Linked DNA regions of Oryctolagus cuniculus. The protein of the gene in region 1 purifies or fractionates together with the protein of each later gene. This does not show direct contact. Links are inferred from orthologs where the notes say so. Each region holds a gene or a part of one and is shown on either strand. Other genes may lie near its edges. The genes, in order: RARA, PML and KLF5.

Evidence for each region.
Region 2: the proteins of RARA (region 1) and PML purify together in Homo sapiens (affinity purification with western blotting; 6 studies listed by BioGRID, with this or other methods). This does not show direct contact. The link is inferred for Oryctolagus cuniculus from reciprocal best matches to the Homo sapiens genes RARA and PML.
Region 3: the proteins of RARA (region 1) and KLF5 purify together in Homo sapiens (affinity purification with western blotting; 4 studies listed by BioGRID). This does not show direct contact. The link is inferred for Oryctolagus cuniculus from reciprocal best matches to the Homo sapiens genes RARA and KLF5.

What each region holds. Positions count from the first base shown.
Region 1 is NC_091448.1:22,125,990-22,131,626, forward strand, and holds the start of RARA (retinoic acid receptor alpha), read right to left. Parts: upstream 3,282-5,637; 5' UTR 3,267-3,281; coding exon 3,050-3,266; intron 1,766-3,049; coding exon 1,617-1,765; intron 400-1,616; coding exon 258-399; intron 1-257. UniProt on the Homo sapiens protein: Receptor for retinoic acid. Retinoic acid receptors bind as heterodimers to their target response elements in response to their ligands, all-trans or 9-cis retinoic acid, and regulate gene expression in various biological processes.
Region 2 is NC_091443.1:109,482,380-109,488,007, forward strand, and holds the start of PML (protein PML), read right to left. Parts: upstream 3,694-5,628; 5' UTR 3,629-3,693; coding exon 3,500-3,628; intron 2,165-3,499; coding exon 1,701-2,164; intron 1-1,700. Other genes in the region: STOML1 (stomatin-like protein 1), read left to right, coding at 5,052-5,184.
Region 3 is NC_091440.1:39,667,874-39,671,874, forward strand, and holds the end of KLF5 (Krueppel-like factor 5), read right to left. Parts: intron 1,693-4,001; coding exon 1,514-1,692; downstream 1-1,513. UniProt on the Homo sapiens protein: Transcription factor that binds to GC box promoter elements. Activates the transcription of these genes.

The DNA.
Region 1 (5,637 bases):
AAAGGACTCAGGGAACCCTGGGAGCAAAAACACACACACGCACATGCAAGGACACACAGCCAGTCGCACATGCACACTGGACCTGCACACACACACAGCCAGCCAGAATCTCACAGGTCCCTGCAGCTTTAGCCACACGCCCCAGCACGCATGCTCAGACACACGTGCACACACAGCCACAGGGCCCAACGGCCCGGCCTGCAGGAGCACCACGGGCCCCACCCACGGCCAGTCCGGCCTCCGCCCGTGGCACTCACACTCCTTGGACATGCCCACTTCGAAGCACTTCTGCAGCCGGCAGTACTGGCAGCGGTTCCGGGTCACCTTGTTGATGATGCAGTTCTTGTCGCGGTGACACGTGTACACCATGTTCTTCTGGATGCTGCGGCGGAAGAAGCCCTGGGCACGGAGAGGGGAGAGTCAGGTCACCAACACCCACAGCGGGAGTGGCGCCCAGCCGGCAGTCGCAGCTGGGGAAAGTGGGCCAGGCCAGCGGCTGCTCCCAAGCCTTCGCCCATCACCCCCCTGAGCAGGCCAGAAAAGATGGGGCGATGAGTCACCCCTGGGAGAAGCCCGCTACTGCCTCAGCGCTACGAGGTGGGCAGGAGTCTTCCCCCAGCCTCCATCCACACACCTGACCCCTTCCCTCTAGGGAGAAGGACCTCGGGCTGCTGCTGAGTCAGGAATTGTAACCCGTGGGGCTGGCTGGGACAGAGGCGGGAATCTGGAGCCCACAGCCTGGACTCAGACACGTGAGCTGGCCAGAGACGGAGGCACTCATGCACTCACACACGCTCAGGAGCCAGGTGGCAAGACCCAGTCACCACCCGGACAGACGTGCATGAAGCACTCAGAGATGGACCCGGGCTGGTCAGAGGCCCCACACCCAGGCTCCCCAGGGACACAGATGAGGAACAAGTCAGAAACGACCTGACAGAGCAGGCAGACACACACAGTCTAGGTCCTGAGCTGTGCCCTGAACCTGTGTCCCACACCGACAGGTAGCTGATGGGCAGCCCAGAGCCCCAAGACTGTACAGCTTCCAAACCCTAATATCTAGAGAGAGAAACTGGTGTGGAGGCTCTGGTCCTAGGAAGAGGACCAGCCAGGCCCAGAGCTGCTGGGGCCTAACATGAGGACGGGAAAAATGCAGACGCTGGGGAGCCCACAGCCTCAGCACCTGTAGGGGAAGCCGAGGCAGGGTTCCGCTCCTAACTGCCGCCTGCCAGGCTGTCATGGCGAGGTGCAGGCAGGGCCGCCGGGGGCAGGCCTCCTGGGTCCCCAGCCAAGAGCCGGTCGGCAGCCAGCTCACCATGGCAACCTGGGCAGCGGTGGCAGAGCGGAGCACGCCCTGCCGGCTGGAGCATGGAGACGGGGGCGGGGGGAGCTCGGGCAGGAGGGGGCCTCTGGTTTGGGGGGAGCCCTGCTCATCTATGGGGGAGCTTCTGTTGCTGGCACCCCCTCCTCCTTCAAGGCTGCTGGCAACTTCCACACACAAGCAAGAGCAGCAGCATCAGGGACAGCCCCTGCCCTCAACCGAATTCTCCCAGGGCGTGACAGCGGGGACATCCCATTTATCTAAGCAAGACTGCCCTTCCCAGAGTCCCCAGTCTCACCTTGCAGCCCTCACAGGCGCTGACCCCATAGTGGTAGCCAGAGGATTTGTCTTGGCAGACAAAGCAGGGCTTGTAGATGCGGGGGAGGGGGGGTGGCGAGGGAGGGCTGGGCACTATCTCTTCCGAACTGCTGCTCTGGGTCTCAATGGCTGGAGAGAGAGAAAGGGAGGGGGCGGTTAGAGACCAGGCGCCATCCCTGATGCCCTGCCCCGCCCTGCTCAGGGTCTCCCTCCAGAGCCTCTCCCAGCCTCACTACTGCTGGCAGGGACGGTCTCGGGAAAGCTGGGACTCCCCAGTCAAGCTTGGGGGAAGCCTTGGGACCCCATCACGCCCGTCTACTTCCCCAGGACCCCGTCCTCAACACAGAAAGCTGAGATCATAAACCATCAGATGTGGGTGTGTGTTGTGTACTGGGCTCTGCCTGGGAGGAGGTGGTCCGGCCCTATTCTTAGGCCTTGCCTCGGGTGGCCTGGCCGGTACTCCCCCAAGTTAGGAAGGAGTTAAGGCTGGATGAGGAGGGAGGAGAGAAGACACAAGCTGGGGGCAGAGGAAATGGGGGTCAACAGGATATTCAAAGCCAGCCACTCCCTCACCCCCTCTGCTTCCGCTTGCCCCTCCCTCCACCCCCCTCTGCCAACAGCCAGGGCCCCTCCTCCACCCAAACAATCCCCAGGCCGAGGACCCAGGCAGACCCAGGCGGGTGTACAAAGAAGAATCCCGAAGGCTGGGGCACAGCAGGTGGGGGTCCCCTGAGATAGGTGGAGAGACCACCTGGGGACAGAGCCCTAGAAGCCCATCACCCTGGGTGCCCCCTGCCTCAGGGGAGGCAGCATGACAAAGGGGGGTCTGTTCCCATCAATGCTCTGTCTGTCTGGCTTCAACAGTATGTCCGGGTTACCACCCCTCCCCTCCTGTTAATTCAGCCCCCAGAGGGCAGCCAGGAGGGGTGACCTAGCCAGCAGGAGCTGTCCCCCACTGACCAAAGCCTCCCCAGTGCCTGGCTCTCTGCCATCGCCCCAGGCAGAACAGGGATGGGCTGGCAGGGGTGGGGGGTGCAGTGTGCTGGATGAGAACCGTACAGCTTCTCCTGCAGCCCTGGCCACCTCCACCTGTGCAAGGCCTAGGAAGGGTGAGGATGCGATCCTGACAGCCCAGCTCCACGCCCCAGCCCACAGCTCCTGGCTCAAACACCTCACGGCCGCGCGTCACCCCTTAGCCGCAGACACGCCCGAGACCCAGGCTAACAGCCTTGGCACCAGAGCCCACATCAGCCTGACAGCCCTGCCCTGCCCAGAGACCAGCCTGCAGCAAAGGGACAGTAGATGCTGTCCCCCACTGGTCCACAGATTCACTCCTCACTGACCTCTCCCAGAACCTCAGCTCCTCATCCCCACACCCAACCGCCCTGGTTTTCCCCCCCATCTCATTCTCACCAGGCCAGACAAGCAAATCAGACAGGCAGGGAGGCCTGAGGACAGCTGCTGGGGGGGGGGGGGTTGGGGTTGGGGGGCCTGGGTGAGGCCAGGAGGCAGAGGGGTGAGCCACAAAGAAGCCCTTTGTTGTGCTAACTTTTTCCAAGACGTAAAAACAGTAACAATAGACAATCCAGACTGGGGGGGGGGGTGTCAAGGACATGGGGGGGGCAGCCATGGCCTAGAATCCCCGCTCAGCATTCCAACAAGCAGAGGAAGAAGGCACTGGCCTCCCTTGTTAATCCACCCTTTGCCCTGGGCCCCGCCTCCTCCCAAGGCCCCACCCCAAAAATGAGCCAGACCAGCAGCAGCGGCAGGACCCAGGGGGCAGGGGGCAGGGAGCAGAGTGGAGGCCGGGAGGCGGGGCCCGGGGAGAGGCAGGGCTCTAAGGCCCGGGAAAGGCACACAGAAATTGGGAGCTAAGGCAAAGTCCAGAGGGTGTGTGCAGAACTGGAGGAAAGTGCTTTTTAAAATGATCTTTGGCAAGACGGGGGAGACAACCCACGCAGGGGCTACAGTTCGGACTCGGTGACACCTCCCACCTCCCTTCCGGCCACTGACCGCAGGCCCTTGAGGCTGCAACACCCCAGCCTGAGAATATCCCCACCTTTCTCCCAGGTAACCCAGCTCTGAGGTTTCTGGCTCTGCCCTTTGAATCCAGAGCTTGGGGCCAAGGCCTCCAGCCCGCAGCCTAGGAAGACCAGGTAAAACGACCCAAGGCAAAAGTGTGAGGGACCCCAGGCGCCCCTCAGTTTCTGCGCGAGTTAGGATACAGCAGGAACTCCTGCACTCGGGAGAGGCAGGGAGAGGCCGCCCGACCCGGCCTCTCCCCTAACCTCCCTACCCAGAGGCCCTGGCCCACAAATCCCTCTCCAGCTGCAGAAGGGCTCAGGCGGGAGAAGAACCACACCTTCTCAGCTCAAAGTTCCAGCGCCCAGCGGAGGGCTGGAAGCGGACCAGGAAGCCAGGCGTCCCCTCCCGCCGCCGCCAGGGCGCCCCTCCCCCGCACCTCCCTCCTGGCCGCCGGGCGAGCTGAGCGCTCCGGATTCCCCACGCCCCAGAGCCGTTCGTTCGCAGGCTCGCACAAGGGGCCGGTTTCCTGGAGGAGATCAGCAGGAAATCAGCCGGGCCCCCGGCCAGCGACTCCCCTTCCCAATCCAGCTGGCGCCCTCTCCTCTGCAGCTCCCTAAACAGCCCCCGGGGAGGGCTGGGGAGTGGGCTCTGGGCCCTCGGTGCTGCCCTTCCTCCTCCTGGGAAGCGGGTGGGGGTGGCTCCGGGTGTAGCCCGGCGGCGGAAGAAGGCCCCTAGCCCAGCGGCCGGCTGATAAGCATCTCCCCCTCCCCCCACTACGGGCATCCACGTGCTTCACATTCTTGGACGTCTGGGAGCGGGTGGAGGCGTGAGCGGCGCAGACGGGTGGGGGACAGATGGGGAGCCACGTCCTGTGCACCCCTTGTTCTCTAGTGCATGAGAAGGGGACTGCGGGGGGGGGGGCAAGGTCCAGGGCCCTGCAAGACCCAAAAGGTCTCCTGCCACAGCTAAGCCTCTCCTGCAACCCTTGGCAGAGGGGAAGGGGGAGGGGAGAATTCTCAGGGAGGGGCTGCAAGGCAGGTCCAGGCGCTGGGAGACCTCCACCCACACCAACGGGCTCCTTCCAGGGTGGCTAACATTGCCCCCACAAACTCCATACTGCGCTGGGTCCTGACCTTGGCCTCCAGGTCCTGCTCCTTCCTGTGCCTCAGAGCAGCCCCCACACCGCCATCACAGCCAACCCCCAGCCTTGGGGACTTCACTGACACCCCCACCCAGAGATTACAGGAACAGGAAGCCCAGGTCTGTGGCTCTATCCCACCCCAGACCCCACTTCCCCACGTCCAGCGGTTGGGGGAGTCATCGGCTGCCTCACTCTGGCCCTCCTCCCCCTCTAGTTCAGTGCCAGGAAGAACTGAGCTGTCCCCACCAGACACTCAGGGAGAGCCGGGCTGGAGCCCCAGGGCTCGGGTCCCAGCTTCCACCCAGTCCTGTGGAGAAGGCAGTGGAAGGTGTAGTAGCCCTGATGACCCTGTCCCTGTTACCCCCACCGAGCCGGCTCTGGTAGAATGGTCCTGGCATCACCCCTCATCTCTGTCCCCTTTTCCAAAGCCTGCGGTCACTCACCCTCCCTTCTCCCCTCTGCAGCTTCTACAGCCTTTTCTGCCCTGGAGGCAAAGGTCAGGGGCAGGACAGTAGGAAAGGCTAGGGTTCAGGAGGTGCTGGGAGGGTAGAGGTGGGCTGTCTGCCTTGTCTCTTCCTAAACCAAGGGGGGCTGTGTGTGTGTCTCTTAAGGGGTTAGGAATCCTTTACCCTCCGACCTTCTCCAGTCTCCCTGGGCCCCAGAGACCCACTCCTCCCCTCCTCCCTGGCAGGCAGGAGGGTGGGAGAACCTCCAGGGAAGAGCTGAGCCCAGAGCTGGGTTAAGAGGAAGGAACCTGAGCCAGCTAACAATAACCCCCTAGCACCTACTTCCAGCCACCTAGCAGTACTGCCTCACAGCAGGCCATGCACACGCC
Region 2 (5,628 bases), on another chromosome or scaffold:
GTATGGGATGCCGGCACTGCAGGCTTTACCCACTACACTATATCTCCAGCCCCTCTTTTTCTTTTTTTTAAGAGAAAACTGCTAGGACTAATAAAAATCTCAACAAGATGGTGAATAACACGAACATACACAATGAGCTTTAGTGAATGCTCATGATAATCATAAATTATCACTAAAAAGGTCCCATTCTCAATCATTTTGAGAGTTTAAGTATGAGTCTAAGACCCATCTGAATACAGCTACAAAATCCAAAAGATGTAACAAGAGATGAAACCAATTCTCCCCAGATTTAATGCAATGCAAACCAAAATCTCAATGAATACACGAGTTTTTAAAAACCTCATCAACTATAATAGCCAAAGAAAAGCAAACCTTTTTTTGGAAGAATGGGGGACAGCTCCTGAAACCCAGGTAGCGGGACAGATTGGAGCGGGCGTGGGCAGCTCAGCGCAGACACACCCCTGGCTGCACACACCAGGCAGAGGGCAAAGGTCAGCATCGGAACACACAGGTGCCTGGAGACAAGCGCTACACTCACTCTTCGAAAGAAAAAAAAACAACAACAAACAAACCCAAGTGCAGCTCCTAGTAACCCACCAAGGAGGAGACACACCAGCCACTAAGCACCACGCCCGTCAAAAGAAACAAAACCGAAACCAGTGACAGCAGGTGGTGAGGGAGGGGGGACAGAAGCGGGGACTCGCCGCTGGTGCAGAAGTCTCTCTGGAGGCAGAGCCCAGCCCCTGGCAGTCAGCAGGTGCACAGCTCTACCCTGCCGAGCGAGGAGGAGCCCCTTCCCACGCACACGGACCCCTCAGAGACTTCTCTCATCTGCATCCGAGAGGGGGCTCTCCGAACGCGCCTGGGACACGGGCGTTAAAAGACACGCTTCTGTTGGCGCAAACATTTTGGGAGTCCTCGCACAGCCTTCTCACAGCCCTCATTTTCTGTGAACATGTTACAAATCTCTGGTCTCCACGGAAACTGAAATACTCAAACTCATCAGCACAGTTCCCCCAGCAGATGACGGAAGCTCGGAGACTCTGCGCCCTCTCTCTCACTCTCTCGCTCTCTTAAATAAATCTTATTGGTGGCCGGCGCCGTGGCTCACTAGGCTAATCTTCCGCCTTGCGGCGCCGGCACACCAGGTTCTAGTCCCGGTCAGGGCGCCGGATTCTGTCCTGGTTGCCCCTCTTCCAGTCCAGCTCTCTGCTGTGGCCCGGGAGTGCAGTGGAGGATGGCCCAAGTGCTTGGTCCCTGCACCCCATGGGAGACCAGGAGAAGCACCTGGCTCCTGGCTCCTGCCATCGGATCAGCGCAGTGCGCCGGCCGAAGCGTGCCGGCTGCGGCGGCCATTGGAGGGTGAACCAACGGCAAAGGAAGACCTTTCTCTCTGTCTCTCTCTCTCACTGTCCACTCTGCATAGGAATGGTTACATGCGTAAAAACAGAATGGAGCTTGCTGGTTAATACAGTAGTTCTGACCTGATTTGGTCGTCTTTGCTGTGGCGTCTGCCCTGGCTGCCGGTGCTCCGGCTCTGACCGCTGCACCTGCTCCTGGAATCCAGCGCCTCTGGCGGTCTGGTGACAGGTGTCTCCCACTGGGGTCACCACCACGGACCCCCCGATCTGCAGACCCCGGGCCCCCAGCAGCTCCGGCATGCCCCCACCCAGCACCCACGCCCGGCCGGGGCCACTCACCTGGTCAGCATCGGGCTGCGGTGGTTGGGGTTGGAGCAGAAGATGTTGTTGGACTTGCGGGTGCTCTCCAGGAACTGCAGCACTGACTGGCTGCGCAGCTCGGCCAGCGGCCGCGCCTCGTGCTTCAGGAACCACTGGTGCGCCTCGAAGCACCCGGAGCACAGGAGCTGCTCGCACTCGAAGCACCAGAAGTCGGCGGGCTCCTTGCAGCGCGTGCAGGCGGCCTGCATGTCCACCACCTGCTGGTGCACGGCCAGGCGCCGCTGCAGACTCTCGAAGAAGATGTTGTCCAGGACGGGCGCCCCGTCTAGGGCCCGGGGCCCCTGGCAGATGGGGCAGTGCAGGCCCGGCGCCTCCAGGCACCCCGAGCACAGCGTGTGCAGGCAAGGCAGCAGCTTGGGGCACTTGGCTTGGGTGTGGCAGCCCTGGCACTGCAGGAACTGGAAGTCTTCCTCCTCGGCTTGCTGGGGGAGGGAGGACAACAGGGAGGAGGTAAGGCCTGGAAAAGTCCCAGGAGTCCCCACTCTGCAGCCGCCCATCCGTCCCTGTGGCTGGGGGGGGGGGACCGGACCATCCCCTGCCACCCTGTCATTGCTCCACGCACGACCCAAGTACCCCATCTATTCAGCATGTGCTCATTGAGACCCAGCGGTGACCCAGGACACACCTCCACCTCCACGGAGCTCAGTCTGGATGGTAGGTGAGCCAGGTACCCCCTTCTACACAGATAGGGGGTTCCCCCCAAAGCTGCTAAGCACTGAGCCACCTTAGCCCTAATTCCCATCCCTAACTATCAAACTCTGAAAACAGAGGCCCACCAGCCCCCTGGGACCCCAGGGTGTGCACACAGCAGCACCGTTCCCAGCAGCCGGGTGCGCGAACCCAGGCCTCGCTCGACCCAGAGCTGGGCAGTGCAATGCGTTCTGCACGTGAAGGGACTGTCCCTCACGCAGCCCCGGGACAGAACGAACTCTGGATGCCTGAAGCTTGAAGACATCACGCTGAACAAACTACGCCAGACACGCAGAGAAACCCCGACTCGGGCCCGCTTACAGAAACAGCCCAGACGGGCACGTTCACAGTGGGAAAGTGGGTTAGAGGTGACCCGGGAGCCAGGCGCTACCGCGTGCAGGGCACAGTTTCCAGGGTGACGACAAAGCTGGACTTGGGGGGCAGGGTGGCCGAGGGTGAAATGCGCTCACTTAGGAGGGAGTCACTGGTCACTTCTTCCTGATGTCTCTCTTGCCACAACATATATATATAAAAAAAGTGCAGCCCCGGAAGTACTTCATCTATCACCTGGCACTAGGCAGTGCTAACTAGTCGGTGCTAACGGTGCTAACTTAGTGCTAACTAGCACTGCTAAGCCACCGATTCTTGGCTGTAATAACGCAAGGCCGTGCTTCCGAGCGTTCCCAGAGCCAGCCAACCGCACAGTGCCTGTGGGTGTGTGGGGGAGGTGGGGCGCAGGCGGGAAGGGGGTTCCCAGCAGGTCACCTGGAGGCTTCCGGAAAGAGATCACAGAAGCCGCGCGGCCCCTGCCCATTCACCTGTTCCGGGCGCCCACCGGGCCGCCGACTTCCACCTCCAACTTGGGAACTTGGAGTTGCTAGTCCCCTCCCTTTCCCACGCGGGCCCCAGGCGAGAGGCCGGGCACCTCTTTTGGTGCCTGGTCCTTTGTCCTGGTGCACTCTTTGAGGTACTTGGCCAAGTCTCCCGTTGCACCCCCCTCTTCCCACCTATCCCCCCTCCTCCCCCACCTCCCAGCGACCCCCTCCCCCGCCATGTGAGCGCAGTACCTCTGCGGGGCTGGGGCTACGTGGGGCACCTTCGGAGCGCAACTCCGGGGACGCCATGGTAGGGGTGCGGGTCGGGCCGGCGTCGCGCTGGGAGCCCGGGGACCCGGCGGGCGCGGGATCCTGCTGCATGGGTCCGGTTCACTTTCGATTCTCCGTCTGCATCGGGGAGGGCGGGAGAAACGGCACGAGAGGCTGAGTCAGGCCAAAGGGGAGGCGCCGGCCAGGGCCCGCCTCTCGGGAGGAAGTGACTTGGGGCGCGGGGAGGGGTCGCGACTGGGGCTGGGGGACTTTCCACTTTGATCACAGCTCCTGCAGCTCTGGCCCAGCCCCAGCAGGGGTATTGGGGACACAGGCCACCCAGGAGCTGACCATGTCCTCGGAGACCCCAGGCTGCAGCCCCGGCTGGGCTGGAGAGGGGGCTGGTCACTGGAGACTCAGGGCTTGGAGAGCTCGGAACGCCCTTTGATGTCGGTTTATGGGGTCCCAGCCTGCATTTCCTCTCGTTGCAGCACTGTCGCCCCCAGCTCTCCCGCCTTTGGCGTCCGGGATGCATCTCTACCCCCTGTTGATTCATCCCGTGCCCCTGTAGCTGACATCCCGGAGCGGACGCGGCTGGGACAGAGTTCTTCTGCCAGGAAGGACTCAGGCGTGAGACAGAGAGGCGCGGGCAGCAAGGCAGCAAGCTCTCGGGGGCAGGCATCGGTCGGGACCGACAGGCCCCTCTGCAGACGGAATCAGAGACGGCTTCTAGCCGCTCGGACCGAGGACAGCAAGGTCACACAGCCTGACGGAGGCAGTGCACCTGCTGGGCCAGGGGCAGCTGGGGAGATGCTGAGCGGTCAGTGCTTGGAAGGGCATGGGGTCCAGATCTTCCTCCCCCTATCCTCTTCTGCTGAGTGTGAAATTCCTGCCAAGTTTTCAGACTGGGCGAGAGAGGATTCTCCTAGGGTGTCTTCCTTAGGGGGGAGGGGAGGCTGGGGCCACCTAGGAGGTGATCAACACCGCGCTGATCCGATGGCATTATCCTGGTCTCCCTTGGGGTGCAGGGCCCAAGCACTTGGGCCATCCTCCACTGCACTCCCGGGCCACAGCAGAGAGCTGGCCTGGAAGAGGGGCAACCAGGACAGAATCCGGCTCCCCGACCGGGACTAGAACCCGGCGTGCCGGCGCCGCAAGGTGGAGGATTAGCCTAGTGAGCTGCGGCGCCGGCCAATTCTGGGGTTCTATAGCAGCTCCTCCAGCCGGGACTTGTCTACGCCACCACCCACCCCGAGCCAGCCGGGCTGTGTGGACACCTCGAGGAGCGTCCATCTAAGGCCAAGTACCAGCCAGGAGCAAGAGCAGGAGCAGGCCACACCCCCACGGCCCGGCCGCAGTGCGGTCCTCCCAGCGCTGGGTGGCGCCGTGCGACGGCGGGAGCAGCCCGGGCTGCCTCCTCTCCGGCCACGGCCGGGGCCGCGCAAGGGAAGCCGGAAGCGGCGGCCGCGGGGGCGGGGCCTGAGGGTTGGGGCCGGCGGTCAGCGGCGCTGGCCGCGCCCCCCTGTCAGGAGCCATGCTCGGCAGGTCTGGGTACCGGGCGCTGCCGCTCGGGGACTTTGACCGCTTCCAGCAGTCGAGCTTCGGCTTTCTGGGCTCGCAGAAGGGCTGCTGGTCCCCGGAGCGGGGCGGCGTGGGGCCGGGGGCTGGTGAGTGGCCGCCCACGCCCCAGCCCCCCGAAGGAGCGACCCCTGCTGCCCCCAGAGCTTCGGCTCTTACCTGGGCCCGTCTTGCTGCAGAGCCCTTTGCGGCTCCCCAGGCCCCATGGGCCGGGTGTCCGCCGCTCAGCCTGACCACAGCCCTGGGGCGGGGGTAGCGCGGCGCCTCCCGGGGCCGTCCTGTGCTGACCACGGCCCCCGTGTGAGGACGCCTGTCCTGGCTGCCGTGCAGACCCCAAAGAACAGCGGCTGCCTGGGAGCGGAAAGGGCAGGAAGTGACCTCGTGCCGGAGGCCAGGGCTGGGCCGAGACCCCTGACTCCCCGAGCTTGGGCTTCTGGGATGGAACTGAAATGGCCCTCAGGGCATTAGAATAGAGCGAGGACCAGGAAGGGACAGGCGGCCCCGAGGTTGTAGGTCCAAGAGGCGGTGCTGCG
Region 3 (4,001 bases), on another chromosome or scaffold:
ATATAAACATCTCATTCTCTCAAAAAATTCTACAACTATACAGCTGTTTGCTCCATTATTTGTATAGGAAATGACCACAATACAAAAATAAGAGGGAAAAAGAAGCAAAACAGCAACCAATTTATGCATTTTATGTAGGTAATGTTTCCACGTATAAACATTTTGAAGCCTCTTACAAAATTATTTACACCGTTTGTCATCTATTTACACATTTTAAGAGCAACTCTTCTAACAAACAAAACTATAATTTATCAAGTTATGAAAGTTGTTTTCTAAAAAAATGTACTATATTACCACAAAATAAATAAAGATAAACAATATTTTTAAAACAAAATTAAATTTTCATTTCAATTAAGACCCCTTTTGGCATTTTGCTTATGGATTCTGCCCTTTGGTTAACAGCATCAGCATCACATTACTGTTTTATATTGCATATATGTAGCACTTGCTGCCTTACGTTTTCAACATAGCATTTCTATTTAAAGGCAGACACTGAGTCAGTATTAACAGATTAACTAAACTGCACTGTAATTTAGATTAAATTACTGTGTCTCACTGTATATTACATGCAAAACCCACATAAATTGTCATTTATCTGACAGTACTGAACGAGCAAACATCTCAGTATAAGAAAACATCATCAATTCAACATTGCCATATGTGAAAACTACAGTCCTTCTTAAAAACGATACTGTGTTTAGCTTATTGTAAGAGGTTTAACTTTCGTATATTGTAACTATCTTTAAGCTCTTCAGTTTACAATTCATATAAAACGTCTTTTTTATTTAAAATAAACACTCCTATTTTAATCAGTGCATGAAATTTGCTTTTAAAGTTCATTTGAATGATTAGTATTCCTTCCCCTTAAAGAAATGAATTTGGTGATGTTGAAAGGTATCTTACGACAAATTCTGTGAATGTACTCATGGTTATTTTCAAAAAGAAATATGATTTATTTTCCCCAAAAGAATCCTAAAAAACTTGTAATAAACCTATAAAGCTGATTTGCATATTTACAAAATCTTGAATAGCAAATATAGGCAACTCATATATAAAAAAAAACCCAAAACACATTTGTTCAATGGCTATTATTTGTGAATTGCCAGGTACTGCTGCGCACCTATCGGGAATCATCTATCCTCAAAAAACCTACTCGACGTCAAGTAAAATCTTGACACACACACAGTCTATCCATCCTTCTTCCGGCGCCTGCCAGCTGACTTGTTTACCAAACACTGTCCCGTTAAGCGATGGCGCCCCCGCCCCACCCGCATGCGGCTGCCTGTCAGGAGATGAAGCCGGCCCCAGGAAAGCCGTGACAGCGAGCGTTCCGGATTCTGACAACGACCAAACACTTTGGTATTCATACAATGTATTCCCTGTTTTCTCAAATATACAAAATATACATTTCCAGTTTTTTGTTTTGTTTTCTTATTTTATAGGAACAGGTTAAGTCTGTAGCGGAAAAGGTGGCCAGGAGGGCTGCGGAGCGTGGGGCGGCTGGCGGCGGCGCTCAGTTCTGGTGCCGCTTCATGTGCAGGGCCAGGTGGTCCGAGCGTGAGAAGCTGCGGTTGCACACCCCGCACTGGAAGGGCTTGGCGCCCGTGTGCTTCCGGTAGTGGCGAGTCAGCTCGTCGGAGCGCGCGAACCTCCAGTCGCAGCCTTCCCAGGTGCACTTGTACGGCTTCTCACCTGTGGCAACCAACAAAAGGGGTCAGGTGGCCTGCTTGGAAGACAGACGTCGTAGACAGCACCTGAGCAGCACGGCTTTGGGTTTAAATCGGGGGCCAAGTCAGGCAGGGAAGCTCCCGAGTTCCATGATGAACTGAATCAACATTGAATCCCCTCTCATTGACCTAGGGAAGTGCCATTCCATGTATGGCATTTAACAAGTATTTATGCAAAGAAAAAATATTCTGCGGGCCTTTGAGGAACCGAACAATGGCAACTATTAGGCAAATGCAAGACGAACCAGCGCCTTTATTTCTATATACCCCTGGCACACACATTCCATGAAATGATGAGATGACCTTGAGTGGCCTCATTGGACACACACAGGTTCTGCTATACTAGGACTAGGTAGAACTGCTGTAGTAGGACTAAGAGCTAAAACATGGGATAGGGAGGGGAAAAGTTTTGGGGCTCATCGAAAAGGGATTGCTCAAATCTCCTTAACAACGAATTTCGGGTACCACAACTCTATTTGAAACCAGATCACAAAATTTGGTATCGATAATATTGAAACAACCACAACAACTCTAACATTTGCTGATCTATGAATTTTTGTCAAGTGTTAAACCAAAAAAAATGATCAAAACTTATCCCACAGCCAATCTGCCAAGCATCTTCTTAAATTCCAGGTATGGTCTGGAATGCTTGGGTACAACAGTGAATAAAATCTCTCATCTGATCTACCTATGCTAGTCTTTCCCAGCTCTCTTCATTGGAACAGCGGATGGATACCTGAGCCCCTTCCATTCTGCAATTTGTATTATTCCTAATGTACTCCAAAGTTTGCTAGCTGTTTCACTTTCAAAACTACTTAATATTTATAGCAGTCTTAATTCTGTTTTAAGATTAATCCTGAGATCATGTAGTCCCCTAAATGAATGCTAAATATATCCTGAATATAGGAAATACTAATTACTGTTCAACGAAAGACTATTTCCTATATTCATATTTTATTTTGTTACAATTACCTATGAACATCAGTAGCTTTTAAAGTTAAGAATATGAGATGAATTTGCAGGTTAAAGCAGGATTCGTTTACAGCTGAGTTTTAAATGAGACACCTTTTAAACTGACTCTTAAATAAATAAAATCCCATAAAGACATAAGAAAGCCAGAACACCCAACCTTCACCATCTCCAGCTACTTTTCCTACCTCTGCTCTCCTGGCTCAGACCTAAGACCTTTTTTATTTTTAATTTACTTCTTGGTTCCTATCAACTCTATTTTTAAAAAATGTACATCTCAACTCTGGTGGGCACTCCCTTCCAACCCCAGCCTCAGTAAATGCTAACTTGAAATTTAAGCTAATACATTCAAACCTAAAATGACAGGAGAAATAAGCCACATTTCTTTCACATATATTTACATAAAATCTGATACACAGAAATATTAATACTAGTAAATGCAGCTAACATGTTTCAGACACAAATAAAATGGGAAAATAATTTGACAGAAGTGTTTATTTTTTGTTTCTTGTGAAAGCTAAATCACAGAAATATATTGGCTAAATACTGTCACTTAATGGAAAGTTATTTCTGATGTTTCCAACAAGGACAAAAACTTCCTAAAGTGCCCCAATTTTAAAAGAAATCATTCTAGTCTTTTGAATAATTAAATAGCAGCAGAACTGAATTTTCAAAGTTTATTTAAGAAACAAGGGACACTAGACTCTCTTTGTTCACTATTTTTATTGGCTTTGAAGCAATAAACTGCACCAATATTTTTAAAAGTTTACTTTACTGATTAGTTGAAATACAGTAGCCATTAAAGTTCCTAAAACACTTGGGGTTTTACTCTCGATTTATGTACATCTATAGATTATTCAGCCAAGAATACTACCACTGTGTGGAACATTAGTTATTGGGGCCAAGTCTTACTATGAAAGCAAGGACAACCATTCCCCACTTTGGGCACTTTCTGCGGGATTTGTTCAAGTGTCAACACTGTTCAAGGAAAACATCGTGGAGGAAGCTGGTACCCAATTTCTGGCCAAACAGCAGACTCAGGCCTTTCTTCGGCAGCCAGAAACACTATACAGTACTTCTGGGAAGCCCAGCTGACTTCCTTTACGTTGTACTTCGACAGGACAGAACTTCCAAGGTTTAATTGGATTTTTACAGAATCGCTTTCCAATACCAGCAATTTAAAATATTTAGTTAAGCTCTTTCAACATCAACTGCATTTTTAAGTTCTCATGCTGTTAATGTGAAACCTTCCAAAGGCAAAAAGAAAAAAATGACAACTTTGCACAGCATCAAGACAAGCTTCAA